Caenorhabditis elegans: one gene and its partners. The protein of the gene in region 1 purifies or fractionates together with the protein of each later gene. This does not show direct contact. Each region holds a gene or a part of one and is shown on either strand. Other genes may lie near its edges.

Evidence for each region.
Region 2: the proteins of ipp-5 (region 1) and F46G10.1 fractionate together in Caenorhabditis elegans (co-fractionation; one large-scale study listed by BioGRID). This does not show direct contact.
Region 3: the proteins of ipp-5 (region 1) and cyn-15 fractionate together in Caenorhabditis elegans (co-fractionation; one large-scale study listed by BioGRID). This does not show direct contact.
Region 4: the proteins of ipp-5 (region 1) and Y37D8A.2 fractionate together in Caenorhabditis elegans (co-fractionation; one large-scale study listed by BioGRID). This does not show direct contact.

What each region holds. Positions count from the first base shown.
Region 1 is NC_003284.9:6,029,298-6,036,252, forward strand, and holds ipp-5 (putative type I inositol 1,4,5-trisphosphate 5-phosphatase), read left to right. Parts: upstream 1-2,171; 5' UTR 2,172-2,174; coding exon 2,175-2,267; intron 2,268-2,626; coding exon 2,627-2,806; intron 2,807-2,857; coding exon 2,858-3,084; intron 3,085-3,131; coding exon 3,132-3,195; intron 3,196-3,239; coding exon 3,240-3,383; intron 3,384-3,432; coding exon 3,433-3,614; intron 3,615-3,668; coding exon 3,669-3,981; intron 3,982-4,713; coding exon 4,714-4,740; 3' UTR 4,741-5,186; downstream 5,187-6,955. Other genes in the region: hsp-25 (SHSP domain-containing protein), read right to left, coding at 5,450-5,560, 5,683-5,806, 6,372-6,477.
Region 2 is NC_003284.9:13,308,949-13,314,409, reverse strand, and holds F46G10.1 (BTB domain-containing protein), read left to right. Parts: upstream 1-2,654; 5' UTR 2,655-2,683; coding exon 2,684-2,755; intron 2,756-2,835; coding exon 2,836-2,894; intron 2,895-2,938; exon of another isoform or gene 2,939-2,945; coding exon 2,946-3,057; intron 3,058-3,279; coding exon 3,280-3,405; intron 3,406-3,942; coding exon 3,943-4,110; 3' UTR 4,111-4,183; downstream 4,184-5,461.
Region 3 is NC_003279.8:13,564,797-13,574,122, reverse strand, and holds cyn-15 (peptidylprolyl isomerase), read left to right. Parts: upstream 1-2,075; 5' UTR 2,076-2,086; coding exon 2,087-2,674; intron 2,675-3,427; coding exon 3,428-4,081; intron 4,082-5,056; coding exon 5,057-5,206; intron 5,207-6,280; coding exon 6,281-6,670; intron 6,671-7,569; coding exon 7,570-7,677; 3' UTR 7,678-7,810; downstream 7,811-9,326. Other genes in the region: nyn-2 (Zc3h12a-like Ribonuclease NYN domain-containing protein), read right to left, coding at 1-167, 1,153-1,744; grd-15 (Ground-like domain-containing protein), read right to left, coding at 7,811-8,094, 8,848-8,989, 9,174-9,278.
Region 4 is NC_003281.10:12,817,805-12,827,311, forward strand, and holds Y37D8A.2 (Putative phospholipase B-like 1), read left to right. Parts: upstream 1-2,336; 5' UTR 2,337-2,341; coding exon of another isoform or gene 2,342-2,428; 5' UTR 2,429-2,453; coding exon 2,454-2,522; intron 2,523-3,281; coding exon 3,282-3,406; intron 3,407-3,456; coding exon 3,457-3,536; intron 3,537-3,809; exon of another isoform or gene 3,810-3,960; intron 3,961-3,970; coding exon 3,971-4,238; intron 4,239-4,627; coding exon 4,628-4,736; intron 4,737-4,781; coding exon 4,782-4,917; intron 4,918-5,513; coding exon 5,514-5,817; intron 5,818-6,847; coding exon 6,848-7,381; intron 7,382-7,717; coding exon 7,718-7,808; 3' UTR 7,809-7,847; downstream 7,848-9,507. Other genes in the region: arx-5 (putative actin-related protein 2/3 complex subunit 3), read right to left, coding at 1-8, 54-127, 184-292; Y37D8A.25 (PH domain-containing protein), read right to left, coding at 920-1,076, 1,209-1,390, 2,342-2,428. UniProt on the Caenorhabditis elegans protein: Putative phospholipase.

The DNA of each region.
Region 1 (6,955 bases):
TGATCTTGGTAATCATTAATTTTTTGATCGGAGACATCATGTGTTTTGGACAGTCTCATAAGGAAAATATTTAACAAACTTTATGTTTTGTGAAACCTAGTCACGTCTGATAAGATTTGGTAAGTGTTTTCTTCAAAACAAAAAATTAGTATTTTACTAACGAAAAATTATCACAGTTCTCATTAAAAAACTTTTATGTAACATTTAAAATTTAAAGAATCGTCAGTGGAAATTTTTGTCTAACTATGTTTATAATAGTCCATAACCAAAACACTCTAAAATTTTTATATGTTCCCAAGTTTTAGGAAATATACCAATTTTCTAAATTTGGTTTTTTAAAAAGAAATTTCGAGCACTGATGCAGGTGTGAACCACTATAGTGTTTTATGTATTATGAATAATTTGAATTTAATTATACTACAAAATGGTCAAGAGAAAAGTTGAACTTTCCCCACTTTTTTAATGTAGAAAAAATTAATAGCTCAAAAGTAGCAAGTGAACAGTTTGCCTGATTAAACATCTGTTTTTATCAAAAATACAATTTAAAGTTTTAATTTAAATTTTAAAAAATATTTATTATTAAACAAAATTCTAAAAAGTTTTTTTTTCACAAAGCTAGTAAATGTTCAGAATTATTTTTTCCCTTCTTGTAAACTGGCAAATTTTTAATACTGAAATATACCGCAAAAACCTGAAACTCAGAAATGTTCTTAATGGAAACCTGAACAGCTTGCTAATTAAAATACATATTTTTGGCCAATTGATGTTGGCTATTAACCCTTACACTTTTTTCTAAGAAATAACAAGTGTTTTGTCCGTTGACAATTTTACAATAAATCCAACGAGGAAATACTAAAAAAAGTTCAATTTAACATTTAACCATTCAATGACGTTTTTTTTGTTTGAAACCTTAAGTGGATGTTGCTCTTGAGAAAGAAGAGCCCATCGAAATCTAGAATAAGCTCAAATTCTCATAAAAAACGAGACGTCTACTGCCTTGCACAAGATTATCGAATTGCTGGAGGGAAACCTCACAATACGACAAACCGAGATGTTGACAATTTTGTCATCCGAGCAAAAAAAAAAGAGGGAAAAATGCCATCAAATATTTGCCACTTGGCGCTCGACTCGTTAAACATTGTTTAATTTTTTTTCAAAAAATGTTCGAACTTTCATTGACCCATTTTCAAAACTTTAATTTTCTTAAGGAACAATATAAATTTAATTTTTCTACCAAGTGTGTAGAAATGTGATGCTGGGAGAAATCGAAAATTCAAATCATGTGTTGTTGTTCTTTCTTCTCATGCCGAGCAGCTTGCAATTTTCGGGCGAAAGCCCTCTCCACTTTTTCTCTAAAACTATTCGCTTTTTCTCTATATATGTAGCTCGTGCTCATGCATAATTTCGTCGTGTGTCGATTTTGTTTTCCGACGTTTTTGCACTCCGAGTTAAGTCACTAAGCTCCCAAGTTAATTTGTTTTTGATATAACCTTTTGAATAAAGACAATTTAAATTCTAAAAAAACTGAAAAAAAAACCGAAAAAAGAAACAACTAAGTTAGCAGTAAATTGGATTCTGTCATTTCAATTTACATTGTTGTTGGTTTAGTTGCATTCCAGTACGAAAAAAAAGGCGGCAAGACGCAATTTATTTCTAGGAGGTTTTGAATTTTGACCTGGGCCCGCCTCAATACCCGAAACCCGTTTTTCAAAGAGGTTTCCTTACAAGGTAGAAATATATCATTACACATCGTCCTTGGGCAATGCTATTCGTTTGTTTGCGGATAGAATTTTTTACTATTTTCAAGCAACTTAATTTCATTAGAAAAAAAAGTAAGTCAATTGATTTACAGATAATTTGAATGATTGACATTTTGTTCCTTGTTTAGCATTTTCTCACTAAAATTACTGAGCATTATTCAATAAAAAGTTTCTGCAGCACTCACTGAATGCACAATTCATCAAAGAGCAAACACAATAGCGTGCATTTATATCTTTTGTTTTTATCCATCTCAATGAATTCCTTTCCGTTTTGAAATTAAATCTCGCTGTCACATATTGCACATCCCACAACCCTAACTTCGTTTTATTGTTATATAACTTTCTCGTTTTCTCTTGCTCAAGCTCTTGTTCTAAACACTCGACTTTTCAATCGAACTGTTACTATTGTAGAAAATGGTTCAATATTTGCTGATAACGGCGAACGTCGGATCGCTGTTCGAGCCGGATGCTCGGTTGCACACTTCATGGATTAAAACTGTTGCGGATGTATGTTTAAATATTTTTGCAGTATTAAATTTAATAGTTCATAGCGAACTCACGCAATGTCTCATAGTCAGATTTTTGGTTCAGAATTACATAGTTTTTTACAAATGAATTAGTCCTATGTTTTGCGAATGTGATTTATTAATTCAAATACAAGTGTGAAAGCCAAAATTATTGAATTACATTTGAATTGGCTCCATCGATATTTTGGTTATTTAGTAACATTTTCGCATTGATGCTTCTTTTACTTGACCCTTACCGTCAGTACTTTCCTGATACGATTTTCTTAAAAATATGTTTCCAAGAAACATTGAAATTACTCAAGTAATAAATTTGATACAAGTAATTTTTAAAATTTTTAGCAAGTTGAAAGTGTTGACCCATCGTTCTTTGTCATACATCTTCAAGAAACCGGAGGAAAAAAATTTACTGAATGCTCACAGCAAGTCCCAATTATCATCAATCGTCTCTCCACAGCACTACCAAAATTTGATCTGCTCAGAGCATACGTTGACATCGATTATGAAGCTATTGAGTACACAGTAAGAATGACAATAAAATCGTTGTTTCTGAAAATTTATTCTTTGTTTCAGGCTCTTGGAGCATTGTGCTTTATAAAAAGATCCTTGTGGTCGAACGTTTCTCAATTCAACTTTCACACAAAGAAATACGAACAATTGACAAGCCCGAAGGAAGTAGTGACTCATGGGCTGGAAAACTACCCATACGTCGTCAAACACAAGTTTCCTAAAGATTTTTGGCCTTCTATCAAATGGGGACGTAAAGGATACATGCAAACAAGGTGGAAAATTGAAAACAAGTTAGTCCCAGTTTTCTTTTTTTTTTTTTAGTAAATTCCTTTTTCAGAGTTTTCGATTTTGTTAACGCACATCTCTTTCACGACGAATCTAACTTGGCCCTTATTCATGAGGTTTGTTTGAAAGAAAATGTTCAGAGCATATAAGGTGTTTTCAGAACCCACAACTATACAGCCAAAACCGGAAACGAGCACTTGACTTTGTGCTCGCCGAGCTTTCGTCAAAGGAAAACGGGTGCACGCCTCTGCTCTTTGTTTTTGGTGATCTCAATTTTAGGCTGGACTCTCGTTCTTTCTTAAACGTAATGGGTGACAAATTGCTAATTGGAAAACAAATAAAGATGTTTTCAGCGCTTAACTGAACGTACTGCTCAACATCCAGTCGCCGACCAAGAGCAGATGGGCTCCCTGGCCGATGGTCTTCAGGCTTCGGCTGCAAATCTTCAAGTAATCACCCACCCATCCGAAAATTTGAGGAGGACAGTTTCGGCTATTGAGTTCCGCAGAGAATCGGATAGCGATGATAGTCAAAAGTATGATTATTGAAAGTACAAACTTAAACAAGAACCAAAGAATTAAAATTTCAGCAGTTGTGTTCTACGGATCGAAAAAAAGAAATTTGACTATTTCAATCACAAAAAACTACTGGACGACTGGCGATCGTACAGAGATGACGACAAAGAAACCGAAAACTTTCAGAGCATGTTTGAGATGCATATAAATTTCCCTCCAACATACCCGTGGAGTGAAGATCCAGAAAATTCCGAAACTCTGATGAAGACTAGGGCACCCGCATGGTGTGATCGGGTTCTGATGAATAAAAATGCATACTCGTTGGTGGAAGAAGGAGAGCCTCAGTATAGGTCATTTGGAATGGAAACTTGTACTGGAGATCATAAGGTAATATTCTAATTTTTGGAATATTTTTATTAAAATACTATATTTAACAATGACATAATTTAGTGTAGTTTTATGTAGTGAGAGACAAATATCTTTTTTTAACAGATTTTTTGGTTTTTTTTTAACTCAGATTTTATAATTAAAAAAAATGCTTTGAAAAGGTTTTGAAAATCTTCACAAATGATTGAAACTTCTCAAATTAACTCATTTTTATTCAAGATTTGTCAGTTTGTCGTTGACTAGTTGACTAGAAAACGTTGACTGGAAGCTGTGAAAAAGAAATGGGAAAATTCATGTCAAATTTTTATTAAGAATTCGAGTGAATTTAATTTGATATTATATTCAGACTATTTTCAACAACTTGTTGTTGCTATAAAAATAATTCCTTAAAAAAACTTTATTTAAAAAATTTGAAATTTTTTTTTAAACAGTATATCAAAATAGCTTGAACAGCATTAAATAATACTATTTTTAAACTTTTTCAAAGAATTATTCAGAATTACAAAATAAAAGTTAACTTGTGTTCAAATTGAAAACAACTTTCCTGAATACTTGAATATCAAAAAAAAACATGTTTTAAATATAATTTTGAATAGCTTTATGATGATTACATTGGATTAATATGTTAAAAAAAAACTACACTAAGACCTCGTTTTAGTTTTTATTTTAAATAATCTTTTGAATTCTAAAACTCTTTAATCAACAAAAAAATTTGAATTATTATTTTTTCAGCCGGTCATGCTAACATTCAACATCTGACATGGTTTTCCATTTTCCCTCATTTTGGCCAGCCTCCATTTTTCTTTTTTTTTTTCTTCATCTCGAAGCTACGGATAAACATTTTCAAATTGGCTTGCGCGAACTCTGAGTTTCGAATACCTACTTTTTGTTCTCGTTGTTACTATCAATTTTCAAACTCTATCAAAATTCCATTTTTTCCCAGTTCGCTTTTTTCCGCTAGAAAATTTATTTTTTCATTGAATGATCAGAAACGTGTTTCTTTTCTTTTTTCTTTTTATTTTCATATAATGCACGGGGAACTCTTTAACTTTTTAAAACAATTTTTATCATAATCGATTTTTTGTTTCTTTTTCTCTCCATTTTCAGTGATGTATTGCTAGTCTTATACACTTTTTGCTTTGCCTGACACTTTCCATCAGTATCAATCAATTGTTAAAACGAATCATTTGATAAAATTGCGATCTTATTATAGATTTAATGAAAAGATGAACATTTACTCCAGAAAATTGATGAACAACCAATAAGATTTGTAGGTATTAAATGTATTGAAAAATGAAGCGGATTGAATTGGAAAATGAATCGTAAACATGTTTAAAGAAAGGATTATGGTTGAGTCTACAAGTTTTAATGATTTACACTACAAGAAAAAGTTGATTTATTAGAAAAATGTAAAGTTTTTGTTGCGTTATTCGGGTTGGTGAGGAAGCAGGCGGCGATATTTTTGGTTTCATTGCTGGATTGCCAATTGTGGGAGTGGAGCCTCGACAGTGAGCACGCCATCAGTCGAAAGAGTCGATGAGATTTGTTCTGGGTTGGTGCCTCTTGGAAGAAGGAATTCCTGGAAATTTGATTGTATAGATTAATGCAACTGAATGAAGAGTGACACCTTGGGGCCTCGCTCCATATTTTTAGCCCCAAGAGAACTGTTTGAATTCTAAAATAAAAATAAAAAACACCCACCTGGTTGTACTCTCTGAAAACGGTGCGTTGTGGGGTCTTCTCCTCGTGTTTGGCGTGGACAAGAAGACGGTTGTCAATAGTCTTGACGGTAACCTCCTCTGGCTTGTAGTTAGCTACGTCAAATCTGGAATTTCAGTTTTGTTAAATAAAAAATTCAGTTTTTCTCTTGACTGGTAAAAAATAAGTTTTATCAATTTTTCGGTTATGGTACAGATTTTTTTGACTCGAAATTTCAATTTTATGAGTTTGTTGAATTTAGAGCTAACCAAAATGAAATGTGATTGATATTCATGCTTGGAATAAGAGTAAAATTTTTATGTATAATTTAAAAAAATAACTTTGAAAATATTTTTTCAACTTTGGAAATTGATTTTTGAAAAAGTTAAGGCGATTTTTTTCCTCAATACTTTCATTCATACATTGTTTGGCTTTGAACTTGGACGAGTTATTTGAACATCACAAAAATTCAAAGATTTTAACTTTTGGAGATTTTTCACTACTTTGTCTGAAAGTTTTGAAAAATCGGAAACATTTAGATAATTTTCAGAATATTTATAAAATTTGAGTTCGTTATTTTGAATAGTTTGAGGCCGGTAAATACAGAATTAAAATTATATTTTTAATATTTTTCGAATAAAATTTGAATCTTTTAACTTAATCTAAGAGTTGAAAATGCCTCAAAAAAGTACCTGAGACGAAGAGTCTTTCCATCACTTTCATCCTTGATGAGTGGGCTCTTCAAGTTGTCCAAGTATGGATCGTAGGTTGGACGATGAGCCATCAAGTCGCTGGGTCCTGCAACAAAAAAAGTGAATAATATGAAAAACGCGAATGCGACGTAGCACAACAATAGAAAATAGAGCAAAACTCGTCGCCGAGGTTGCAGTGTTGTTGCCGAAATGTTGCTATGCGGCTGCCTACGCGACCTCTCAGGATGTGCTGAGTGCATAAAACTACTGTGTAATAATTTGGTTTTGAATATATTTTGCGAGTTCACAACAAAAAGAACATATTCACAGAAACCCGCAGAAAGGCAAAAAAGAAAAAAATGTTGCGCTGAAATTTAATACCGACGTAGTGTTGTTGGGAACCATCGATAAATAAGCAAAATTGGTCAAAAGAAAAAAAACCTAATATGAAAACATAAACATTGGTAGATGAGGAATATGCACAAAAACCTCCGGGCAAATTTTTTAAAATTTTTCTTATGGTGTGAATTTTTAATATAGATTTAAATATTTTTATTCAATAATTTAAAGGCTTCAAATTTGCA
Region 2 (5,461 bases), 7.3 Mb from region 1:
TATCCAACACCAATAAATCAACAAACAGTGAAAGAAGCAATGCAATGAAATAAAATGACTATGAAGAAACAATTGCGTGTGGCGCGTTTACAGTGCCTTCGGAAAGATACTTAGAAGAGAGTGCGGGAACATATTGCAAGAATTGAGGGGAATTGAAAGAATCAGGAAGCAAATCTCATTAAGCATACGCCCAGATAATGCATAATGGTGGCTTGGGTTCCAGGCAGTTATAGGAAAAGTAGGCAAAGCTCTTGAAGAGAGAAGTGAAAAAAATTATCTGTGCAATTCTCAATGGTAATTGCAAAAAATAAAAATGTCATTAATAAGGCAGGTTTGTAAAAAACAATGTTACTACTTGCAAAATATTTCCACCGATGCAGAATTGAAATGTTGTCATTTTTAGTATCGACACCATGAAAGTTGAATTTTGCTAACATCTCAAATTATGTCAATTTTTCGTTATCCCAATCTTTCATCTTTATAATTTATTTTGGTCCCCTAGTTATCTAAAATTGATTTATGAATAACTGAATAACCCTAGATTGACATGAAAACGCATACTAAACTGATAGAAATTGCATTATTTTTTTTTTGAAACTTTTACACTTCCCGGTTCATCCGTTTGTTGGTGGTATAATTTCTGTTTAAAAAAACACTTTAAAAGTTTTTTTCGAATTTTTATGGAGTGAATATCTTTTAAAAGTAGTGCAAACTTTGTTTAAATGGACTCCAGCAACAAAAAGTAAAAGGCGAATGGACACTGAAGTAAGTTAATTATCGTTTTAGTTTCGGTTTTTGAAATGGCTTCTTTCAGAAAAAAAAAACGCACTCATATCCTAAAAAGTGTTTTTCATAATAAACAAAAATTATAGTTTCTTCTGTTTTTTTAAATATAAATGTCACTCTAAAATTTTAACAAATTGTTCAGGCAGTTAAAGGAGGACTAACGGTTCGGACGATTTTGAACGTATCGACCCAAAATGGGCCCAAATGAACGAATTTTGTAATGAAATTGCTCAAAAAATTTTCAAAAATGTTTTATGGCGGTTCAAAATTTCGAAAAAATGACACTGATTTTAGCCAAAATCTCGAATTTTGCCCATTTTTCCGTGTCACATCTGTCCGAAATTGCTTTTATCATCCTTTATTGCAAAAATCATCAAAATTGGTTAGCTATCGGCTTTAAATGTACCTTAATCAAGGAAATTAAATGAGATAAACTACCAATATATGCAATAAAGGGTGATAATTCCAAAAAAGCAATTTCGGACAGATGTGACACGGAAAAATGGGCAAAATTAGAGATTTTAGCTAAAATCAGCGTCATTTTTTCGAAATTTTGAACCGCCATAAAAAATTTATGAAAATTGTTTGAGCAGTTTCATTACGAAATTCGTTCATTTGGGCCCATTTTTGGCTTATACGTTCAAAATCGTCCGAACCGTTAGTCCTCCTTTAAACATAATTTCGAAATCAAATATTATTTTTGAAAAACATGAAAATGCCAATCAAAATCTCATATTGTTTCGTTTGGTGTACGGTAACTTTTATTTTTGTTGTTTCAATTTAGCAGCCTTGTTTTAATCAAGAAAATAACTCATGAAAACGTGAAATTAGTTATTCGCACTTCTCGTGCGAGATTAAACAAGTGACATTTTTGCAAATAAAAAATTATTTTCGAGATTAGATTTTCGGCCAGAAAAGTTTTACGGCGGTATAAAACATAATTTGATAGTGCTGCAGCCGCACATATTGTGAAGAAAATAACAAAAAAAAAACAAAATAATTGCCAGTGAAATATCAATTATAATTGACTTTCATTTGACTTTATGATCTGGAACATCTTGTTATCGTCATTGAGCTGCAAGCTACTCCTGAACAACTTTCGTAGTTCTGAAATTGCAGGATAAATTTTTTTTCAGTGAACATACATAGCAGACTGAGCTGTTGGCACGAAAACCGGCAACTGTCGATTTTTTTCCTACCGCTTGTTCAAAAACTGTGAAAAAAACAAAACTTTAAAAACAGAATGGCGCCAGTTAGAATAAGCATACAAGTGCAAAAATTACTATTCAAAAAATGAAAGGTTGTGTTATTTTGAGAGTAGTCAAGTGGTGAATGAATACTTCAATTAAATTTTGAAATTATACGCAAATCATGCGACGGCACTGACCAATCAGCGTTACGTAAAGGAGACGACATACTTCGGTGATTGGTTGGCGGTTTCCTGAATAACACGTGTTTCAAAATTACATTGACATATTTACGGTTTGTCCAAATTCGTAAAATTGGCACTCTTGATCATATTTCTTTGCCTGTTTTTTTTGGCATTTTTCAGAGCGAGCTTCAAAAAAAACTATTCAAATTTTGCCACGCTTTTAATATTATTCACTTTTTCATTTAAATTTTAGATCAATTATAAATGGTTATTATTGAGTGATAACAATATACTTTTTCTAAACACGAATAAGATTTTTTTTTCGAAAATAGGTACCTTTATATGTTTCAAAAGTGTTGAATCACACGTGTTGCCAATCTGAAAATGGGATGGTATCTTCTTATTGACACAAGGTGAATTCAAAAATTTTCCTAACGTCACTGATAACACAACCGACCATTGAGTTTTATTACCTCGATTTTCACTTGCTCGCGTTTTTCACAGGACACGCAGGTTTGACTAATAATGCTAGCTAGAGCTTCTCTTCATTCAAATGGTGTGGATATGCATACCGCTGAGTATGCTGATTATAAAAAGGTGGGTCTTGAAATTGATTCAATTTTCTAATAAATTGTACAGCTAATGAGAAAATTGGAGTATTATAAAACTATGTTTAGGCTGAAGTCACATCTCATCATGCTCGAGACATAGTGCATATTAACGCAGGCGGCACAAGGTTAGTTGGGAATTGAGAACATGAGATCTGAGAATTTAACGAAGGCTTCAGATTTACTACACTTTACGACACTTTGGCACAGTCAAAGTCGTCATATTTCCTCAACTTTATCCGCATCGACCGCACCAGTGGAAAAATTGTGCTTCTTCAACAGAGAACTATTGTGGGTGACAATCTAGAAATAAATATACATACTAATGAGGATGCAGAATTTTTTAATTGGAGACTATTAGGTTATCTAGAAGCTAGCTGAAAGCCTAAATCCTACTGAAAAAACTTCCAACAATTTTTACTTGTGCTTTTTTCAGAATTATTTTTCTGAATTTCAAGAGAATGCTTTTAATCCTCATAGCTCTCTCTAAAAAAATTTCAATACAAATTTCAGCGTGATGAGTCAGGAGCAATCTTCGTGAACCGGGACGGGCGTCTGTTTGCATTCGTTCTGCAATTTATGAGAGACGGAAAGAACACTGTCCTGCCAAAAGATAAAGACGTGTTAGCACAGCTCAAAGTAGGTGTTTCATGTTTAATTTCATCGCCTTCTTAACCATGCGTTGTCATTGATAAGCACAGTTGCTTGTTTACTAGAGGTACACCGAGGTGTGCCTTGTGTTTTATGGGTATTTATGTGTTGGCGATTGTGTGTCACGAATATTGGTATACCTAATCAATTGGCATGGGTAGAGAAAATTAAGTTATACAATTTAGTCATGTGCAGTTACTATTTTATGATATTGTTAAGGAAAAACAATATGTTTTGAAAAATTGTTTTTTCCAGGAAATATCATTCAAAAATTAATTCAAAGTGCAATATGGAAAAAAAACCAACAAATACAAGATTAACACTAATGTCAACTATGTCAACAATCATAAAAAATAGAAACTATGAGATTTATGCAAAAAATGTGTAGCATACATAAGTGTGTATATTAAATGAATCTTGAAACACCAAATCAATTTATTGAAAACAATCACAACTTTTAATTTGAAAATAACTCCAATGATGTATGAATTGACAATACATATAAACTTCCCTTATTTTTTCCAGCGAGAAGCAGACTTCTTTGGCATGGAGGTATTCAAGTACCTAATTCAAGAGACACTTGTTGACATTGAAAAGGAACAACGTGCCAACACCAATGATATTGTGGATATTCGCAATTCGGTGAACCAAATTGCGAACAACACGTACTACAATAATGGAGGACGCATTTGAAGTTTACTTCCTCTTTCTGAATAACTTTGTTAATGACCATGAAATAACGGAAATAAAGTGCAAAATTGTGTGTACTTCTGAACGAACTTGTTGAATTTGGTGTTCGTTGAAAATTGACTTGGGGGATGGAGTAATCATATTCAAATTATTTTTAGTGATCCTTGTGAGAACATTTGAAACCAAAAAGATGTGCTTAAAATTCTGAACACTTTTAAATTAAGAAAAATCGGTAGAATCGAGTTATCGAAAATCAAAACGTCTTACTAAACTTCAATTACATTAGCCATAAAAAACTATAGAAAATATCGATTTTCAAAAACTAAATTATATTCAATCTTTTACAGATTTCTGAAAACCAAGTCAAAACTGATAAAAGATACAACTCGGAAAATTGCTCTAAATCAGCAATGTGGAGAAAAATATTTCGTTTAATATTTTTGATTGGGGGGGGGGACTTTATTGGTTGTCCTGAATCTCTCTCGAAAGTTAGTTTCCTCGCATAAATTAGTCTTGCGCTCTTAATTAGCATTGTTTCTGAGCAATTTTTTGTGTCTTGAAGCCTGCGTCGCTGCAGTTGCAACTGAAAACTAATACAGATGTTTTCGTGTACTGTTTATTTTTTGCCTGCAGTTAAAATAGATCTATTTACTTGTTTTGTGCAGACTTAAAAAAGTAACAATGTTCTGTTCAGTGTGCTCAATAGGTAAACAACTTTTTTTGAAAGTTTGTTGAAAGATACTTAAAAAATTCGAGCTCCATGTGAACATGCGCTATGAAACGTTATCTTGCCATGAATTAATCGTTATTATTATTAAAAATTCTTTTGATTTTTTTAAACTTTTGAAAACTATTAAAAATACATAAACATTTGCAAATATTTTGCAATAAAACTCTTTAAGACTTAAGTTTCTACGACTGCAGTTAAAACTATTTACAACGAAATATTTACAAGATGTGACCCGGAACCCGGAACATTTTGCCACGTTTAATATCAAAGCACGATCATTGAGCACCATGTTGACCAGCATGGTACGTGTAATATTTTTACACGCTTCGTTGGAGACAAATTACATGATGAAGTTTATTTATTTTGATAATCAACCAGTCGGATAATTTCGAAAATATACGATTTTGATCTAAACCCAAATTTTTCAGAATGTGCGCAAGTTCAGTTTCAGAGGTTCCGTTCTACTTCCCTGTACATTTTTTTTTCTGCGAATCACACTATTATATCTAACTCATAAAACCCTTTATTTAGTGGGCGCTTTTGCGAATAGGAGAAATTGTTCTCAGAATCCAATAGTTTCGAACACATTTTTATCACTGTCACGCAATTCAGCATGATTCAATT
Region 3 (9,326 bases), on another chromosome or scaffold:
GGTGATTTCCATGAAGGGCATCCACGTGTCATCGTCCATTGTGGCATTCAACACTGCAACGCCATCAATGACGACTGGCCGAAGCATTATAATCTTATTGGTTGGAGTGGTTCTCCATGTTAATTCAGGTGGAAATTCGTCAAAACCAACGGCGACAGAGAGGCTTCCTTGAAAAAATGAGGGTTTTGTGGGTGGCTACAAACTACAAACATCTTTTCAGCCTCACCAAAAATTCTAAATTGGCACTTTTTGGTGGAGGCGCACACTACACACTACATAAATTTGATTTTTGGTTCATTTGCTAATTTAAAAGCAATTTTTTTCGAAAAAAAAACCAAATTTTGAATTTTTGAGAAAAAAAAAAAATTAAACTTTTTAAGAGAAAAAAATAGTTTTGGATACTACAAACTACAAAAATAAGTTAGCCTCACTCAAAATGTCTTAATTTTCATTATTTTTCGTTGAGGCTCAGACTACAAACTACAACAATCAGCTAGCCTCACCAAAAAAATTTTCTATTTTTGGTAGAGGCTCAGAGACTACAAACTACACGAATCTGTTAGCCTCAACCAAAATTCTAATCTTTCATTATTTTTCGTTGAGTCTTAGACTACAAACTACAAACATCTTTTCAGCCTCACCAAAAATTCTAAATTTTCTAATTTGAAAAAATGATTTTTTCGTAGAAAAAAATAGCGAAACATTGAATTTTTGAGAGAAAAATTAGTTTTGGCTACAAACTACAAAAATAAGTTAGCCTCACCAAAAAGTTCACTATTTTTGGTAGAGGCTCAGAGGCTACAAACTACAAAACTCCTTTAGCCTCAACCAAAATTTTGAATTTTCACTATTTTTGGTTGAGGCTCAGACTACAAACTACAAACATCCTTTAGCCTCAACCAAAATCCTAAATTTTCACTATTTTTCGGTAGAGGCTCACACTACAAACTACAGGAATTCTCTAGCCTCACTAAAAAAATCTAAATTTTTAATCGTTTTTGGTTGAGGCTAAGAGACTACAAACTACAAGAATCTTTTAGCCTCAACCATTCACAAAGCTCAAAAATTATCGGAAATTTCACTTTTTCTCGATTTCGGGATGGTTTTTTTTTCTAAAATTTGATTTTTAAGCCGTCACACTACAAACTATACCTGCTCGAAATGAATGCTCGCCGTGCATTTGAATAAATCGAGAAATCAAATCCGCAATTTTTGCATCTATCAGCTCAAAACGTGTAATAAATGACTTTCCATCGTCCAAAATTTTTTCATGTCTAGCATAAACGAATTTTAAAATGTCGAAATTCGCTCTATCAAGAGCCAATTTCTCTTTTTCCGTATGCTCTTTATGTAGAATCTTCCATCCACCGTCTTTTACACTTATAGTTTTCAATGTGGTCGAAAGTTGACAGAGATTTCTATATCTTTTAACTGGATCAGTTTCCGTCACTTTTGCCGCTTCATATTCTTTCAATAAAGCTACAACTTTGTCCAGTTCCTTATCGAGCTCTTTCCATTGCTCAGGAGTTGCTTCTTCTCCGTCACTGTAATCTGAATCACTTTCTGAGCTTTCTTGATGTGTCGCTGGTTCTTCCCGATCACATTCATCATCTACAGGCACTGAAGTTGGTCCATTTCCCCAGAATGAGGTGCTCGGCTGATCGAACATTGATTCGGGGACGGAGATCAGATGTCCAGCTGTATTGAGCACTAGACGAGTGCCTGGTGGTCGTGGCGGGTCCATCTGTAATTTTTTTTTTTTTTGAACGAAGATGGGCTTCAATTGGCTAAAAATGGAGCAATTTAGCATTAAAGAATCGTTTATAATTAATAAATATTAGAAACAACACTTATTTAAACAATTTAAAAAGGAAAAATCATGTAAAATTATAAGTTTTCAGGGAAAATTCAGGAAAAATTCAGGAAAAAACAAAAAACAAAACTACGACACTCCACTATCCCGCGTTGCGCGTTGTTTACCGTAAATCTACACCATTCGAATTTCCGCGATTGCACAAATTTAGAATCGAATTTTCCAGTTTCTAGCAATTTAAATCAAAATTTTTTCAATTTCCAGCTTTGAAAAATGGAGCCAGTCTTCAAGGAACCATCACCGAAAAAAAAACGAGTCGAAAATCCACCAGAAAATGCTCCAGATGCCCCAAAAAAGCCACAACTCAAGCATGAATCAGAATTTTTGCGTTCAATCCCGTCTTCTTCCCAATACGAGAAATCATTTATGCATCGGGACACAATTTCTCACGTTATCGCGACAAAAACCGATTTTATAATCACTGCAAGCGTCGATGGACACCTGAAATTCTGGAAAAAGAAGCATTCCGAAGGAGTCGAGTTTGTCAAGCATTTCCGTTGTCATTTGAGTGAATTCTCACATATTTGTGCAAATATAGACGGTACACTGCTAGCGACCGTCTGTGAAGCGGATAAATCCGTAAAAGTGTTCGATATCGAGAATTTCGACATGATTAACATGATAAAGCTGGATTTCCCGCCGAAAACTGCGAATTGGGTACATCAAAGCAACGATCCGATCGCACATTTGGCTATTGGAGCCGCGGATTCTGGAAAAATCATTGTTGTCGATGGCAAAGCAACGGCCGCTCCGATTTGTATCAAGGACAAGCTTCATTCGACGCCAGTCAAGATAATTGAGGTTGGTTGAGGTTCACACTACAAACTACAACATTCCCCCAGCCTCAACCAATTCTGAAAACATTCCAATTTTCACTGTAAAGTCGCGAAATTACTTATTTTTTCTGTGATTTCTGAATTTTCCACATTGAAAAATCCCAAAAAAAAAACTTGGATTTCTGATAATGACGCTTGGTTGAGGCTCACACTACAAACTACAACTTTTCCACAGCCTCAACCAACACAAAATCCTTGTGGAAATATTGATTTTTCCTGGAAAAAACCGAGAAAATGTTCAAAATTTCTGATTTTTTTTTTCTTATAAACACTTTTTCACGGAAAATCCAAGTAAAAATCAAAGAAAATTGAATTTTTGAAGTGATTTTTGAATATCAAATTGGTTGAGGCTCAGAGACTACAAACTACACAATGTTATAGCCTCACCAAATTCAAAATTGTTAATTTTGAACGGAAAATTCGAAAGAAATGATATTTTTCGTGTTATTCTTCACATTTTTATATAAAAAAACCGGCAAAAATCCAAAATTTCACGCAATCCACGTGGATTTCTGACAAAAATACAATTCTTAGCTGGGGCTCACACTACAAACTACAACTTTCCCCCAGCCTCAACCAAAAACAAAATCCACGTGGAAACGTTCAATTTTGACCGAAAAAGCTCTGAAAATGATGGTTTTTAATCAATTTTTCTTGCAAAAATTTCAAAAGATCCCTATTAAGCCACTACAAACTACAAAACTCTCTCATATTTCAGTACAGTCAAAGTTTGGACATAATTGTGTCAATCGACGAGTCGGGAATGATCGAATGCTGGAACGGGGAACGTGGAGATTTTCAGTTTCCCGAGACGAAACTCACCTGGGAATACAAGCTAGAAACGGATCTCTACGATTTTGTAAAGGCGAAAACGATTCCAGTATGTGCGACTTTTGACCCGTCCGGCTTGAAGCTAGCCACGTTTGCCGAGGATCGAAAAATTCGAATTTTCAATGTAAAAACCGGAAAATTGGCGCAACTGATCGATGAAACAACACAGAAATATCATTGCGAAGCGAAAGAAAATAAGAATTACGGCCTACAACATATGGAATGGAGTCGGCGTCTTGCATCGGAAAAAGAAATGGATAAAGACAAGAAGAACTCGTTAAAATACACGAAAATCTGTTTTGATCAATCTGGAAATTTCCTTCTCTACCCGACACCAATTGGTGTGAAAGTGTTCAATTTGGTGACAAATGAGGTTTCCAGAACCATTGGAAGGGATGAAGCTATTCGATTTGTGGCTGTTTCACTCTGTAATGCACTTCCAGACATTCGGCAGAAGCTTCAGGGTGCTGCGATCACGCTGGAAACGGCGGCCGCTGATAATCCGACGCTTAACCGGAAAACCGATCCGGATCCGTTGATGGTACGGGGAGCTATCGATTTAAAAAAATTAATTTTCATCGAAAAATCATTTAAAGTTCTATTTTTCCTGAAAAAAAGTATTTTTAACTTTAAAATAATTATCGAAAATTGGAAAAATGTCATTTTTTGGCAAAGAAAAATCTTGGTTGAGGCTAAGACTACAAACTACAAGTCGTTTAGCCTCTACCAACAATGCACCCTGTTTTTGGTTGAGGCTATCAGTTTTTGTAGTTTGTAGTCGCTTAGCCTCAACCAAGATTTTTTAAATGAAGTTTTAACGAAAATTCATATTAAAAAAGTGTTTTCCTATTTTCGAGAACATTTTTTCTGAAAATCAAAAAAAAACTAGACTACAACCTACACACTTACACTGATTTTTGCAAATCCCAACTCTCTTTAGAACAATTTGGGAAAATGTTGAAAAAAATAAGTTTTACTCAAATTTTGTGACATTTTCATTTGAAAAATTCGTTAAATGTTCAATTTTTCCTGGAAAAAATGTTTTTGAATTTTGAAAAAATTGTCGAAAAATAGGAAAAATGACATTTTTTTTGGCTAAGAAAAATCTTGGTTGAGGCTAAGACTACAAACTACAAGTCATTTAGCCTCTACCAACTTCAAAATGAACTATGTTTTTTGGTTGAGGCTAAGCAATTTTGTAGTTTGTAGTCGCTCAGCCTCAACCAAGATTTTAATGAATTTTTTAACGATTTTCATATCAAGAAATGCAGTTTTTTCTAATTTCGATAAAATTTTTCAGAAATTATTTATTTTTTTGCAGTAAAAAACGAATTTATGCCTGTGAAACAGTTTAGACTACAAACTACACTCAATTTTTGGTTTCAATCTCAATATATCATTTTTTTTTGCACAATTTTGGGAAAAAAACTTTGAAAAAATAAAGTTAAGCCCCCCAAAATACATGGTTGAGGCTGAAATTACAAACTACAAACTACAAAATTCTCCGTAATTTCAGGTCTGCTGTGCTCTGCGTAAAAATCGATTCTACCTATTCACGAACACTGAGCCGTATAACGTTGAAGACGATGAAGGAAATCCGTCAGTTTCCGGAAGAGATGTGTTTAATGAGAGGCCAAAGAAGGAGGATCTACTGACAGCGTTGGATGTATGGTTTTGTTGGTTGAGGCTCAGGCACTATAAACTACACAAATTTCTAGGCCTCTGATGTAGTTTTGAAATTGGTTGAGGCTTTAGTGACTACAAACTACAAAAGTATTTGCCACGTGTATTTTAAAATTGAAAAATTATGTAGTTTGTAGTGTAATCCTGCCATAAAACGTATAATGCTTTTTAAAGTAGCATATATATTTGGCGTGGGCGGCATTTGCCGATTTGCCGGAATATTTCATTTTCGGCGAATTGCCGGTTTGCAGATTTGCCGGAATTTTCCAGTTCCAGGTAGTTGCCGGTTTGCCGGAAGTTTTCAATTCCAGCAATTTACCAATTTTCCGGAAATTTTTCAATTTCAGCAAGTTGCCGATTTGCCGGAATTCTTCAATTCCAGCAAGTTGCCGGTTTACCGATTTGCCGGAAATTTCAATTCCGGCAATTTGGCGGTCTGCCGGAATTTATCAATTCCAGCAAGTCACCGATTTGTCGGAATTTATCAATTCCAGCAAGTCACCGATTTGCCGGAATTTTTCATTTTCGGCGAATTGCCGGTTTGCAGCTTTGCCGGAATTTTCCAATTCCAGCAAGTTACCGATTTGCCGGAATTTTTTCAATTCCAGCGAATTGCGAATTTGCCGGAATTTTTTCAATTCCAGCGAATTGCGAATTTGCCGGAATTTTTTAATTCCAGCAAGTTGCCGGTTTGCCGGTTTGCCGGAAATTATTCAATTCCAGCAAGTTGTCAACAGGGCTGTGCGGCTGTCGGCTGTCGGCGTCAGCCGACAGCCGAAAAATCGGCCCCGTTTCGGCTGTCGGCGTCGGCGAAAAATATGCTTTTTTTGATCTACCTTTGGAACTTAACTCCGCCCCTAATCTTGTTGCTGTTGTATTTTCGTTTTGGTGGGAGGATCCTAGTCAACAAGGTAGATCAAAAATTAATTATGAGAAAAATTTGCGATCGTGTTTTTTCGATAATAACTATATTTATATACTTCATTTAAAAATAGTAGTCATATATAAACGTGAATTTTTATCCATTTATACAAAAAAACTATTTAATATTTTACAGACGGAAGGAGGTGAGAAAGTACTGAATAAAGAAGCAATAATCCATACATCATTCGGTGATATCACAATTCGTCTTTTCGGTGATGAATGTCCAAAAACCGTTGAAAACTTCTGTACCCACTCACGTCGTGGATATTATAATGGGCTAACATTCCATCGAGTCATCAAATCATTTATGATTCAAACTGGTGATCCATCTGGAAAAGGAACTGGTGGAGAATCAATTTGGGGTGAAGATTTTGAAGATGAATTTCATCCCAGACTTCGACACGATAAACCTTTCAAAGTTTCAATGGCAAATGCTGGTGGTGGAAATACGAATGGATCACAGTTTTTTATTACTGTATGCCCGGCTGATTGGTTGGATGGAAAGAATACTCTTTTTGGAGAGGTAAAAATAGAGAAATTTTAAAAATGTTACCTGAAAACGCTGTTAAAAAACAAGAAAAGGAAGAGAAAAGTGTTTTTTGAAAAAAAAAGTCTAAAATTTCAGTTTTTTTTCAGTAGACCGTATTTCAAATTGATGAAAATTTTAAAAATTAATTAAATTATTCTAAATTTCATTAAAAGCTATTTTGCTTTCCTTTCTTTTTAATTCGACCAAAAAACCAAAAAAAAACCTATTTTTGAACAGAAAAGGAAGAGGAAAAAATGTTTTCTGGGAAAAATATCGTAAGAAAAATGTTGTAAGAAAAATATATAAATTACATACGAATTTTTAAATTTTCCATAATAAAAAAATAGGTTTTTTAATGAAAAAATAAATACGAAATTTTGAAAACTTGCAGATTTTTAAGTTTTTCAAAACATTATTAATTTTGTAAAAATTGTGTTTCGAAAAAAGTGATTTTTTGAAAAAAAAATCCCATTAAAAATTAAAAAAAAACAATTTATTAAACTCGATATGCACTTTCACAAAAAATTCGAAAAAGTCACAACTTTCCATTTTCCGGAATATCGAAAAATCAAAAAAAAACTTGTTCAAAAAAATAACAAAAAAAAAATTTTTTTTGATTAAAATTTGTTTAATTTGTAGATGAGAAAAAGTACAATTTTTTATTAAAGAAAAGTATAAATATGCCAAAACTTTAGAGCTTTTTTCTCTAAAATATTGGAAAACCTATATTAATGCACAGTATAGAACCATAGTATAAAACCAAAAAAAAAAACCAAAGAATTTTTTTTTGGAAAAGCACACTAAAAGGTATCATTTTGCACATTTTCCTTCATAAAATCATTTTCAATATAGATATCCACGCAGATTTCCTCCTAATGCTCAAAAAATTGCAGGTAACAGCTGGAATGAGTGTTGTTCAACGGATCAATCAAGTATCGACATTCGAAAGAAGTGGACGACCAAGAGAATCAATTCAGATCATGTCAATTAGTTTGAAATAATTTATTTCTTTATTTTGCCGTTGTTTGAAATCCTGTCTTAAATTATTTTTTTAAACAATTTTTTCAATTCAATCTCTTTCTTTACTGTAAAATTTTTATTTTATTTCTCATTTTCTTAATTTCCCATATCAAATTACAATTGATAAGGCATTGCATAGTTATGTCGACTTGGTGTTGCATAAACGAGCATTGTCCTCCCTTCCCTCTCCATTTTACACACGAAATCCGAATAGAAATGGATTTTCGACGCGAAATCTCCGGTTCCAGCGATTGCTTCGAAATCCGTACCGAATGCTTTTTCACTGGCCGCTTGAAGCATTGAAGACATTTTTTGAAGATTGCAAGATTTTGAGCTTTTCATTTTCAGAGCGGTTTCTGACATCACTTTTTCGAGTTTTGGGTTGCAACACATGAAGCCTGGAATAGTTTTTTGTAGTTTGTAGTCTTTGAAGACCTAAAAATTCGAAATTTTAGTTTTTAGCTTTAAATATAATGCTACAAGATTTTGTGTCAAAAACGAATACAAAAAAAAATTGTAGTTTGTAGTTTCTGGGGCCTCCACCAACGTTTTTCAGCTTGGTTCAGGCTTGGTTAGTTTTGTAGTTTGTAGTCTTTCAAGATCTAGAATTGAAAACAATTGGAATTTTTTCCTAAACTACAAAGTTTGAGTTATTCTTGGTAGAGGCTCACAGACTACAAACTACGATTTTTCCAGTATTTTTTTTTAATTTTCCGAAAGTTTCAGACTAAAAAATTGATTGTATGTATCCCAAAACTGACTAAAAACCCGAAATTTCGATTTTTCCGACAAAAAACCGTACTTTGTAGTTTCTAGTTTCTGGGCCTCAACCAACGTTTTTCATCTTGGTTGAGGCTTGGTTAATTTCGTAGTTTGTAGTCACCGTAACAGAGAACTATTAATAACTTATTGAGCATTAGTTTTTTTTCCAAAAAAAAAACGAAATTTGTAGTTTGTAGTTTGTAGTCTCAATTTGAAATTCCTACCACGTGGAAAACTAGATATTTAGTTAATGTATTTGGTTGAGGCTAGTAAAATTTTATAGTTTGTAGTTTGTAGTCACTTTTAAAAACCTCAAACTTTTATTTCTTATGTTGGAAATTCTAGTTTGTAGTTTGTAGTTTATAGTTTATAGTTTGTAGTCCACTTACCACTAGTCTCTGTATAACACTGTTTCAACGGATACTTGTGTTCTGCATATTTCGGTTTTGCCGCCAAAACCGGTTCATCTACATAAGGAGCGCGATGTTTCCGTTGTCTAGAAGCATCTTCGATAAGCTTTGGAAAGTCTATCTGAAAAATTTTAGGTGCATACGTGGTGTCAGGCTGTCCCATTACAGTTTGATCTACAAGAAATGCGGGATTTTTTCTTAACCATGCGAAATCAGTTGAGAACTCTGTGTCTCTTCTCCCGCGTTTTTTTGTAGATCAACATAGATCAAGCCGAAACGGGACACAGTGACCACAGGCGACATACCTGCTCATCCCGTTGCGGGATCACAAATGGCTCACGGATGTAGACGGGCCGCCCGAATATGTACACTTTGGTGATTGGAGTGTTGTTGGGGGCAGCGCTAAATTTCTGAAACAGGAAGGTTTTAGTTTTCAGGAAAAAAAATCGAAACTTTAA
Region 4 (9,507 bases), on another chromosome or scaffold:
CCTTTGATCTGAAAATTTCTCAATTTTAATAGGGAAAAATCTCGAAAATCAACCTCAAATTCGCGGAAAAAGATGTTCGGCTTGAAGTAGGTGAGCGCTTCGTCGATGATGTCATCCTGATTGGTTTCTGCAATAATTTTAATATATAATATAGGTTTTTTCAATCAATTTTTGAAGACTTACGAGGCGCTGGACCCTTGAAATTGGTTCGAATCGGAAGTTTTCCCATATTTGTGTTGCCCAATGGCAAAACTTTGAGTTCAGTGTCGAATTTTGAGTGGTATGCCGGCATTTCACTGAAAAATAAGTGTTTTGTTTGGAAAAATGCATAGAAAACGGCTTATTTTCGGATACCCGAGGGGGGGGGGGGGTAAGTACATAATGAGTCACTGCGGCTGCGAAAAAAAATCGATAAATTGTGAAATTCGAGTTTTAAATTAAAATATAAGTATTTTATTCGATAAAAATGCAGTTTTTGAAGCGATAATGTCGTTGCGGACGCGAAAATTAAAGTAAAACCCGAAAATACACTTTTATTCGGAAATTCGTGTTAAAATATATGAAAACTTGGAATTAATATGATTAATATCAGCTTACAAGTTTCCTATAATCAGATATTTAAGAAAAATTGGAAAAAATCAAAGATTTTCTGCTTTTTAAACGTTTTTTCTGATGAAATTCTCTCCAGGAACGGAAAAATAAATAATAATCTCGTGTAAGTTTACGGTAAACAAGGCGCGACATCGGAATATCGGAGCATCGTTTGGAAATTTTTAATGAAATTTCGCGATTTTTTGCGAAAAAAACGATAAATTCAGGGAAATTCCAGCTGCAAAACAAAGCAAAAAACGTTAAAAATGTATGATTTATAATCAATAAGTCAAAATATCACAGTGAAAATGTGCAAAATGTATAAAAATCAATCCCTCATCGCTTTCTTCTGAGTTTGCTCGATTTGCTCATGAAAACTTTGTTTCGAGAGCTGTATATAGTCGATCGGGGAGATTGTGAGCAGCGAAACCCAACGTCCCAGCGATTTGAACGAGTCGGCGGCGAAGATGAAGCTTCGAGCAGTTCTGGAAAAAAATCGGATAATTTTAGGAATTTTCAATCGATTTTTCATCGATTTTCGATAAAACCGATAAAAATTCAGTTTTTTTTTGGAATTTAGTATTAATTTTTCGTGTTGAGACCCGGAAAAAACGCACGATTTGAATTTGATTTCAAAAGTGAAATCCTTGCCAATCTTATTCTCATCACATAATTCGATAAAACAGTCTTCAATAATTAGTAGTAAAAATGGAGGAGCCGACGTCTCCTCTTCGGTTTTATTGTACACGAAAAGCATATTGGCCTTGAGAACACCCCAGCCGGCACGCCATTGGAAATCCTGAAAAAAACTTTTTTTTTTAATAAAAAAATCATTTTTTTGATTTTTTAAATTTTCAAATTACTCCAAATTTCCCATATTTTGTTTTAAAAAAATTCAAAAAATTTCAAAAATCTTATATTTCAGCTTGAAAGCGCGAAACAATTTTCAAACTCGCGCCAGAAAAATTCTCATTGGAGCGCGCCATGCCATGTCGATTTACGAGGGGTTTTTTTGCAGCCAAATTCGGTTTTTTAAACCAGTTTTCTTCATTTTCTTCGGTTTTTTTAAATTAAAATGTGTTTTTTCGTGTAAATTTGGGTATTTTATTATTTTAAAAATTGAAAAATCAGTAAGTTTCGTTCACTTTACACGAAATAAATTATATTTCAAAAAAAAAAAATCAAAGAAACTAAAATTTGCAAGTTTCTTTGATTTTTTTGTTGAAAAATTTTTTTTTTCAAATTTTAAAAATCATAAAATTATTTCACATTTTCACTTAAAAAAACGCGAAAAATATAGAAAACTTGTTGAAAAACTGAAATTTGCAAACAAAATCTCTCGTAAATCGACGCGACATGGCGCGCTCCAATGATAATGGCCCTGGCGGATTTTAAGCTGAAATATGATAAAAAATTTCATTTTTTTATTTTTTGGAACTTTTTTGCAATTCCACTTTTATTACGGAACGACTAAATTCTGAAAATGCGTACCACGCAACATATTTGACGCGCAAAATATCTAGATACAGTAAAAAATATTTTGCGCGTCAAATATGTTGTGCAGTGCGCATTTTCGGAATTTTGGGTTCCTGTAATAATACAAGACGATCAAACTCTAAAGCACCTAACAATTGGTTTGATCTCCACGAAAACGCGAAAATATTTATCTTTTTCACGAGGTCAAAGGGTCACGGAGCACCTGACATGTCTGTGGTGCCATGCCCCGTCTCCCGAACAACTGCTTCAGTACCTGCTGCAACTGCAAAGGTCCCGAAAATCTTCTCTCAAACGTCGGATCCGAACCCAGCCGGAATAGTGAATTTGCGTTGGCGAGCATATCGTGTGTGTGGTGCTGCTGGAGAATGAATTGGATTTTTATATTTTTGGCTGCTGCGGTGGCGATTGGTTGTGAGGCGAGACAGGAGAGAACGGTAAGAATTAAAGAAATTTTTTTAGGTGGAGTAGCGCCAGTGGGGGGAAATTGCTTTAAAACACGCCTATGGGGTCACAATAACCGAATATCATGATAAAAAAATTCAAAAAAATTTTCTAAATTTTATATGATTTTTTGAAAATTAAAAAAAAACCAGTTTTCACCTAATTCCTATTCGAATTACCGCCAATTGGATTTGTTCGATGGAGCGCGCTTGCACGATTTTAAATTTATTTATTTTATTTTTTGTTACTTATTTTCCACCGATTTTTAATGTTTTCGGTGTGTATTTTTGCTTGAATTTTGAAGAAAAAGTCAAAATAAATGCAAATTTTCGATTAAAAAGCACGCTTACAGGCGTAAATCAGTGAAATTAATTAATTCAGGTGTGAAATCGTTTAAAAGCGTTACTTTTTCATTTTTACGCCTGTAAGCGTGCTTTTTAATCGAAATTTTGCATTTATTTTGCCTTTTTCTTCAAAATCCAAGCAAAAATACACCGAAAACATTGAAAATCGGTGGAAAATAAGTAACAAAAAATAAAATAAAATAATTAAATTTAAAATCGTGCAAGCGCGCTCCATCGAACAAATCCAATTGGCGGTAATTTGAATAGGAATTAGGCAAAAACTGAGATTTTTTTCAATTTTCAAAAAATCATATAAAATCTAGAAAAATTTTAAAAATTTTTTATCATGATATTCGGTCATTGTGTTACTCCACCTTTAAAAATTTAAAAAAAAAATCAATATTTCAGTACACAGTTTGCCAGAAGCCTGAAGGCGACCTTCATTATTTCAAAGAAGGCCGAAAAACTGACGAAGAGCTGTGTGCAAAACGTCTTGCCACCGCTTATTTCCATGATGAAGTGAACCAAACTGGGTAAAATTGGGCTTAAAACCAAAAAATTGTTGTAATTTCGTGCAATTCAGATGGGCTTTCCTCGAAGTCGATGTGATCAGCCCGAAAATTCCACATTATTTGCAAGGATATGCTGCAGGATTTGCTGAGGGTAAGTTTTTTTTCAAATTTTACAATTTTTAGCTTTTTTTAAAATGAATTTAGCTTAATTTTTTACATATTCTGGCAAAAAACCGAACAAAATAAGTTAAAATACGCTTTAAAATCCATAAAATTAAGCAAAAATAAATGAAATAAATAAAAAAATGATGTGTAGATTTACGAGAAACATGGCGCGCATGCGGGATACTGGAGTGTCGTTTGCACTGAAATCTCTTTAATAGGTTTATTTAAGCTTAACAATAAGACTAGTTTAAACTCGACGGAAAATTTAAAATTTACGTAAAGAGAATTATATTAGAGAAATAAAATAAACATTTTTTTATGATGGCAGGGTTTATTAACTATTGGTAAGCTAGCCAAAATCTCATTAGAGCGCAATTGCAATAACGGAAATTTCAAAAAATTATTTAAGCAATTATTAAGGTCGCGCCACCCGTCACCTCATCGATCTTCACATCATCAACACCGTCAACGGCTACTGTGACGGAGCGAAGCATTTTTGCGATGAGCTCGGTGAGTTCATGGTTGACAATTTGAAGTGGATGGAGCAGGAGATCAGGGAAAATCCGGAAGATGAGTACTGGCAACAAGTGAATTTGACTGTTAATCAGCTTTTTGGTTTGATTCATGGATATGAAAACCAGCTGGGAGCAGAGATTGATTTCAAGCAGATTGCTGTGCATCCGATTTTGTAAGCTCTTTTTTCCAGGTCTCGACACGACAATTTTTTTTTCAAATGCAAAAATCTGTGCACCTTTAAAGATTACTGTCATTTCAAAAAAAAGCTTTATCGATTCACCATGTCTAGATTACGCCTTCGGTGCGCAGAGCGGTTTTTACTACGTGGCCGTAAAATAAGAAAACTCGGCCACCTTCATAACATGGATACGGAACATTTTCGCAAAAATCGCCACGGTGGAACTATAGAACCCCCTTTCGAGAACATTCTCGTCAAGTTTCAGAAACATCCCACGTCAAAAATCCCAGATAAATCATTGGCCGAGTTTTTGATTTTTCTAGGCCACGTAGTAAAAGCCGCTCTGTGGGTGGTTCATTTTTCAACGTCTGACTGTTTTTCAGCATGATTCAAATCGCCGGCGACCTCGAGGATCTCGCTATGAAATTTAAAAAACCAGAAAATCCGAAGAAAGTCTTCTCAGGCCCAGGACATTGCTCAGCGCTTGTTAAGGTTTAATTTCTCTAGGTTTTAGTTTTATAAAGTAATTTTTTTCAGCTTCTCCCGAAAAACGAGGATATTCTCTTCTCTCATGTCACGTGGTCTTCATACGGTACAATGCTTCGAATTAACAAGAAATACTCATTCAAAACTGGAGATCCAGGACAGATTTACTCGTTTTCCAGTTATCCAGGTAGATCATTTTTCTGAAAAAAAGTGGCAAAAGAAAACGGAGCGAGTTGCTCTGCTCTGATTGGTTGAAGAGTGGGCGGAGCGAATCGCTGATTGGTCGCGATTTTCGTTTTGAAGGTAATTCAAAATTGGTGGTTTTATAAGTTGGATATTTATTTTTCTCCGTTATTTTTGGGGTTTTCTGAACTTGACTTAGGCTTAGGCTTTGGCTTGGATTTAGGCTTAGGCTTAGGCTTAGGCTTAGGCTAAGGCATAGGCTTAGGCTTATGGTTAGGTTTTTGATTGGATTTAGGCTTAGGCTTAGGCTTAGGCATAGGCTTAGGCTTAGGCTTAGGCTAAGGCATAGGCCTAGGCTTAGGCTCAAGTTTAGGCTTAGGCTTAGGCTGAAGCTTAGGCTTAGGCTTGGCGTCAGTGGCGAGCGTCAGCTTTTAGGCTTGTGTTTACAGCGTTTTTTTTTTAATTTTTCAAAGGGTTCCCGTTGGCCGATCAAAGCGTTAGGCTTAGACTTAGGCTTAGGCTTAGGCTTAGGCCTAATCGGAGGCTTAGGATTATTTCAATTTTTAGAAGCAAAATCCCTCAAAAAGTTCAAATTTCCAGCTTCCATCACATCTACTGATGATTTTGTTCTGACCTCTGCCAAACTTGCAATCCTTGAAACAACAATTGGAAATTACAATGAAAAATCGCTCGACCTTATCACTCCAAATACTGTTCTCACTTGGATTCGTGCTGAAATTGCTCACCGAACGGCTTCATCTGGGCTACAATGGGCTGAAGCATTCGGGAGACATAATAGTGGAACTTATAATAATGAATGGGTGGTTGTTGACTATAAACAGTTCCATAGAGGAAAAGAAGTTCAGCCAGAGACTGGAATTATTCATGTTGTTGAGCAAATGCCGTGAGTTTTATAGTTATTTGTAGGCATGCCTACCTGTGTGCCTACAGAGACTAGGCTTTACCTGTAGGCCGCAAAAAATCTTATTCACGAATTCGTGGGGATCTAAATTTAAAAAAAATGCCACAGCAGCTTTCTGTGCCTGCGCCTGCCTAGTCTGAAATGGTTGTACCTAGGAGTGCAAATTTTTCTGTCTACAATTTCGGCAAGTCGGCAAATTAGCAAATCGGCAATTTGCCAAAAATGAAAATTTCCGGCAAATCGGCAATTTGCCAAAAATGAAAATTTCCGGCAAATCGGCAATTTGCCAAAAATCAAAATTTCCGGCAAATCGGCAATTTGCCTAAAATCAAAATTTCCGGCAAACCGGCAATTTGCCAAAACTGAAAACGTTTGCCGAACATTAATTTGCGGGAAGTTTTTAGAGGGATTTTTATAAAACGGAAACACTAAAAACTGTGCCTTTTTGAAATTTTTTCCCGTTTTCTTTAGATTTTTTCATATAATTTTCATAAGATGCGTACAAATTTGCCGATTAAAATAAAATTCTGACATTAAAAAAAACGTGCAAAACCTTTATTTGCTGAAATTTTTCGGCAGATCGGCATTTTGCCGGTTTGCCAATTTGCCGGAAAACATCGTTTGCCGCCCACCCCTGTTTCAATCAATAAAAAATTATTTTTTTTTAATCGACAATTTCCAAAAACAAAAAAAAATTCTCCTATTGACTGAAAATAAACAATTTTCTCAACAAATTTTTTGAAAGTTTTATTATGATTTTTAATCATTTTCCCATTTGCCTTCAATTTGTAATTTTGAAATTTTGAATTAAAAAGAAATTGAAAAATTTGCCGGGAATTTCAATTCCGGCAGTTTGCCGGTTTGCCAATTTGCCGGGAATTTCAATTCCGGCAACTTGCCGATTTGCCGATTTTCCGAAAATTTTAAATCCGGCAGTTTGCCGATTTGCCGGAAAAAAATCGTTTGCCGCCAACCCTTGGTCCAAACTTCCTGAAAAATCCAAAATTTCCAGAGGCCACATAGTCCATTCCGACAAAACAGCCCACTTATTCCGTGAAACCTATTGGCCAGGCTACAATCAACCATACTACAAACAAATTATTCGATTCTCTGACACTGACAAAATGGTGGAAAAGTTTGGTGACTGGTACAGTTATGATAAGACACCACGTGCTCTTATCTTCAAACGAGATCACAATACAGTCACTGATATGAGCTCAATGATTGCGCTTATGAGATCAAATAACTATACAAAGGATCCACTTTCCAAGTGTGACTGTAATCCACCATATTCCGCTGAAAACGCGATTGCATGCCGTTCTGACTTGAATCCTCTCAATGGAACGTACCCATTCAAGTCGCTTGGTTTCCGGGATCATGGAGCTATTGATGTGAAGGTCACCAACTCAAAACTTATCAATAGTCTGCAATTTACTGCTGTATCGGGACCACCTGGAGGTGTTACTAAAGATGTGCCAATTTTCGATTGGAAGACCAGTCCATTGAGAGAAAAAGTGCCACATTTTGGGCAACCGGATAGATGGAAGTAAGGAGCAAAACACTCACGTGGTGTCAGGATGTCCCTTGATCTACAAAAAATGCGGTCCCGCAATTCTCGGAGATCAAAAGATCAAACCGACATGGGACGTTCTGACACCAAAACGGCAGTAATTCTCTCAATGACTACTGTAGCGCTGGTGTCGATTTACGGGCTCGATCACAAAAAAATTCATTTTGAAAATCGAGCCCGTAAATCGACATTTAAAGGATTACTGTAGTGTTCGCTACGAGATATATAGTTATATTTTGCGCGTCAAATATGTTGTGCGATACGCATTTTCAGAATTTTTTGGTCCCGTAATAACACAATATGTATTTTCAGCTTTGCCCCAGTGACCTACAAATGGAGAAAAGATGCTCACCGCCATTACCATCTTTACCAAAAACTTCACAAGGAATTGTCTTCACTATAAACTTTTCTCTTTAAATTAATAAAGCAATCATTTATTTTCTATAAAGTGTAGTTTTTCGGCTTCTGTAGGGTTACTGTAGATCTGTGAAATTTAAGGTACTGTAGTGATACTGTAGGGTTACTATAGTTTTGAAAAAATTAGGGTTTTGTAGTGGTACTGTAGAGATACTGATGGGATACTGTAGTTTTGGAAATATCAAGGTACCGTAGTGGTACTATTGGGCTAATGTAGGGTTACTGTAAGATTACTGCACGGGTACTGTAGTTTTGGGAAAATTAAGGTACTGTAGTGGTACTGTAGGGTTACTGTAGTTTCGGAAAAAAATTAAGGTACTGTAGTGATACTTTAGGGATAGTGTAGGGTTACTTTAAAAATTGAGTTTAGAGCATTTGGAAAGGCTAGTAGGAAATAATGTTGGGATACTGTACTAGTACTGTAGGGTCACTGTTTGGGTACTGTAGTTTTGGAAAAAATTAGGTTTCGAGCATTTAAAAAAATATTGATTGGTGGTACTGACGAGGTACTGTAGTGATTTCGTAGTGTACTTCTAGGATTACTGTAGTTTCGGAAAAATTGAGTTTTAAGCATTTGGTCACGTGTTTCGGGCTACTGTTGTGGTACTGTAGGGTTACTGTAGTTTTGGAAAAAACTATTTTTTTTGTTGCATTTAACTAAAAATTAAATTGTAGTAGCGGTACTGCAGGGTTACTGTAGTTTTGTAAAAATTAAGATATTGTAGTGCTACTGTAGGGGTACTATTATTTTAGAAAAATTAAAGTACAGCAGTGGTACTGTAAGATTACTGTAGGCTTACTGTAGTTTTGGAAAAAACTATTTTTTTTGCATTTAACTAAAAATTAAATTGTAGCAGCGGTACTGCAGGGTTACTGTAGTTTTGTAAAAATTAAGATATTGTAGTGCTACTGTAGGGGTACTACTATTTTAGAAAAATTAAAGTACAGCAGTGGTACTGTAAGATTACTGTAGGCTTACTGTAGGTTTGGAAAAAACTATTTTTTTTTTGCATTTAACTAAAAATTAAATTGTAGTAGCAAAATATAAGGTACTGTAGTGATGCAGTAGGGATACTGTAGGGCTATTGTAGTTTCGTTAAAATTAAAATACATTAAGCTTGTTGTAAGGTTACTGTAGTTTTATAAAAATTGTGGTAGTGTAGGGCTACTGTAGTTTTGGAAAAAATTCTTTTTTTTTGTATGTTGCACCTAAAATTGGTTTTTTAAATCCTTTATTGCAATAGTTTATTGGAATTTTTTTCAACTTAAACTTAAAAAATAGTTTCAAAAATTCCGCTGAAACTATTTCTTACGCAAAAAAAATGTTTTACGCCAAGAAATTGCACGGCAATTTTTCTGACTGCTAGCTGATTTTTCCTGTGTATCTTACGCTACTGTACTACCGTAAACCTTTTTTGTAAATTTCCCAAATTTACCACATTTTTTTTTTGTAAATTCTTCAAAGTGTGAATAGTGTCCAGGTATTATATTGTGTGTTGAAAAGAGAAATTGAAAATTGTCTGGTAGCCAAGAAATGACGGTGGTGGTGGTGTCCTACTTTTTGATGAAAACCTCTTCTCTTTTTGACAGACGGCCTCAAGTACCCATGTCTCCCCCTGTCCATCAGTCGGTTTTACGCCCTTTTCAACATTCTCGTCTTATTTACTACTCTTCTCCCTTCAATC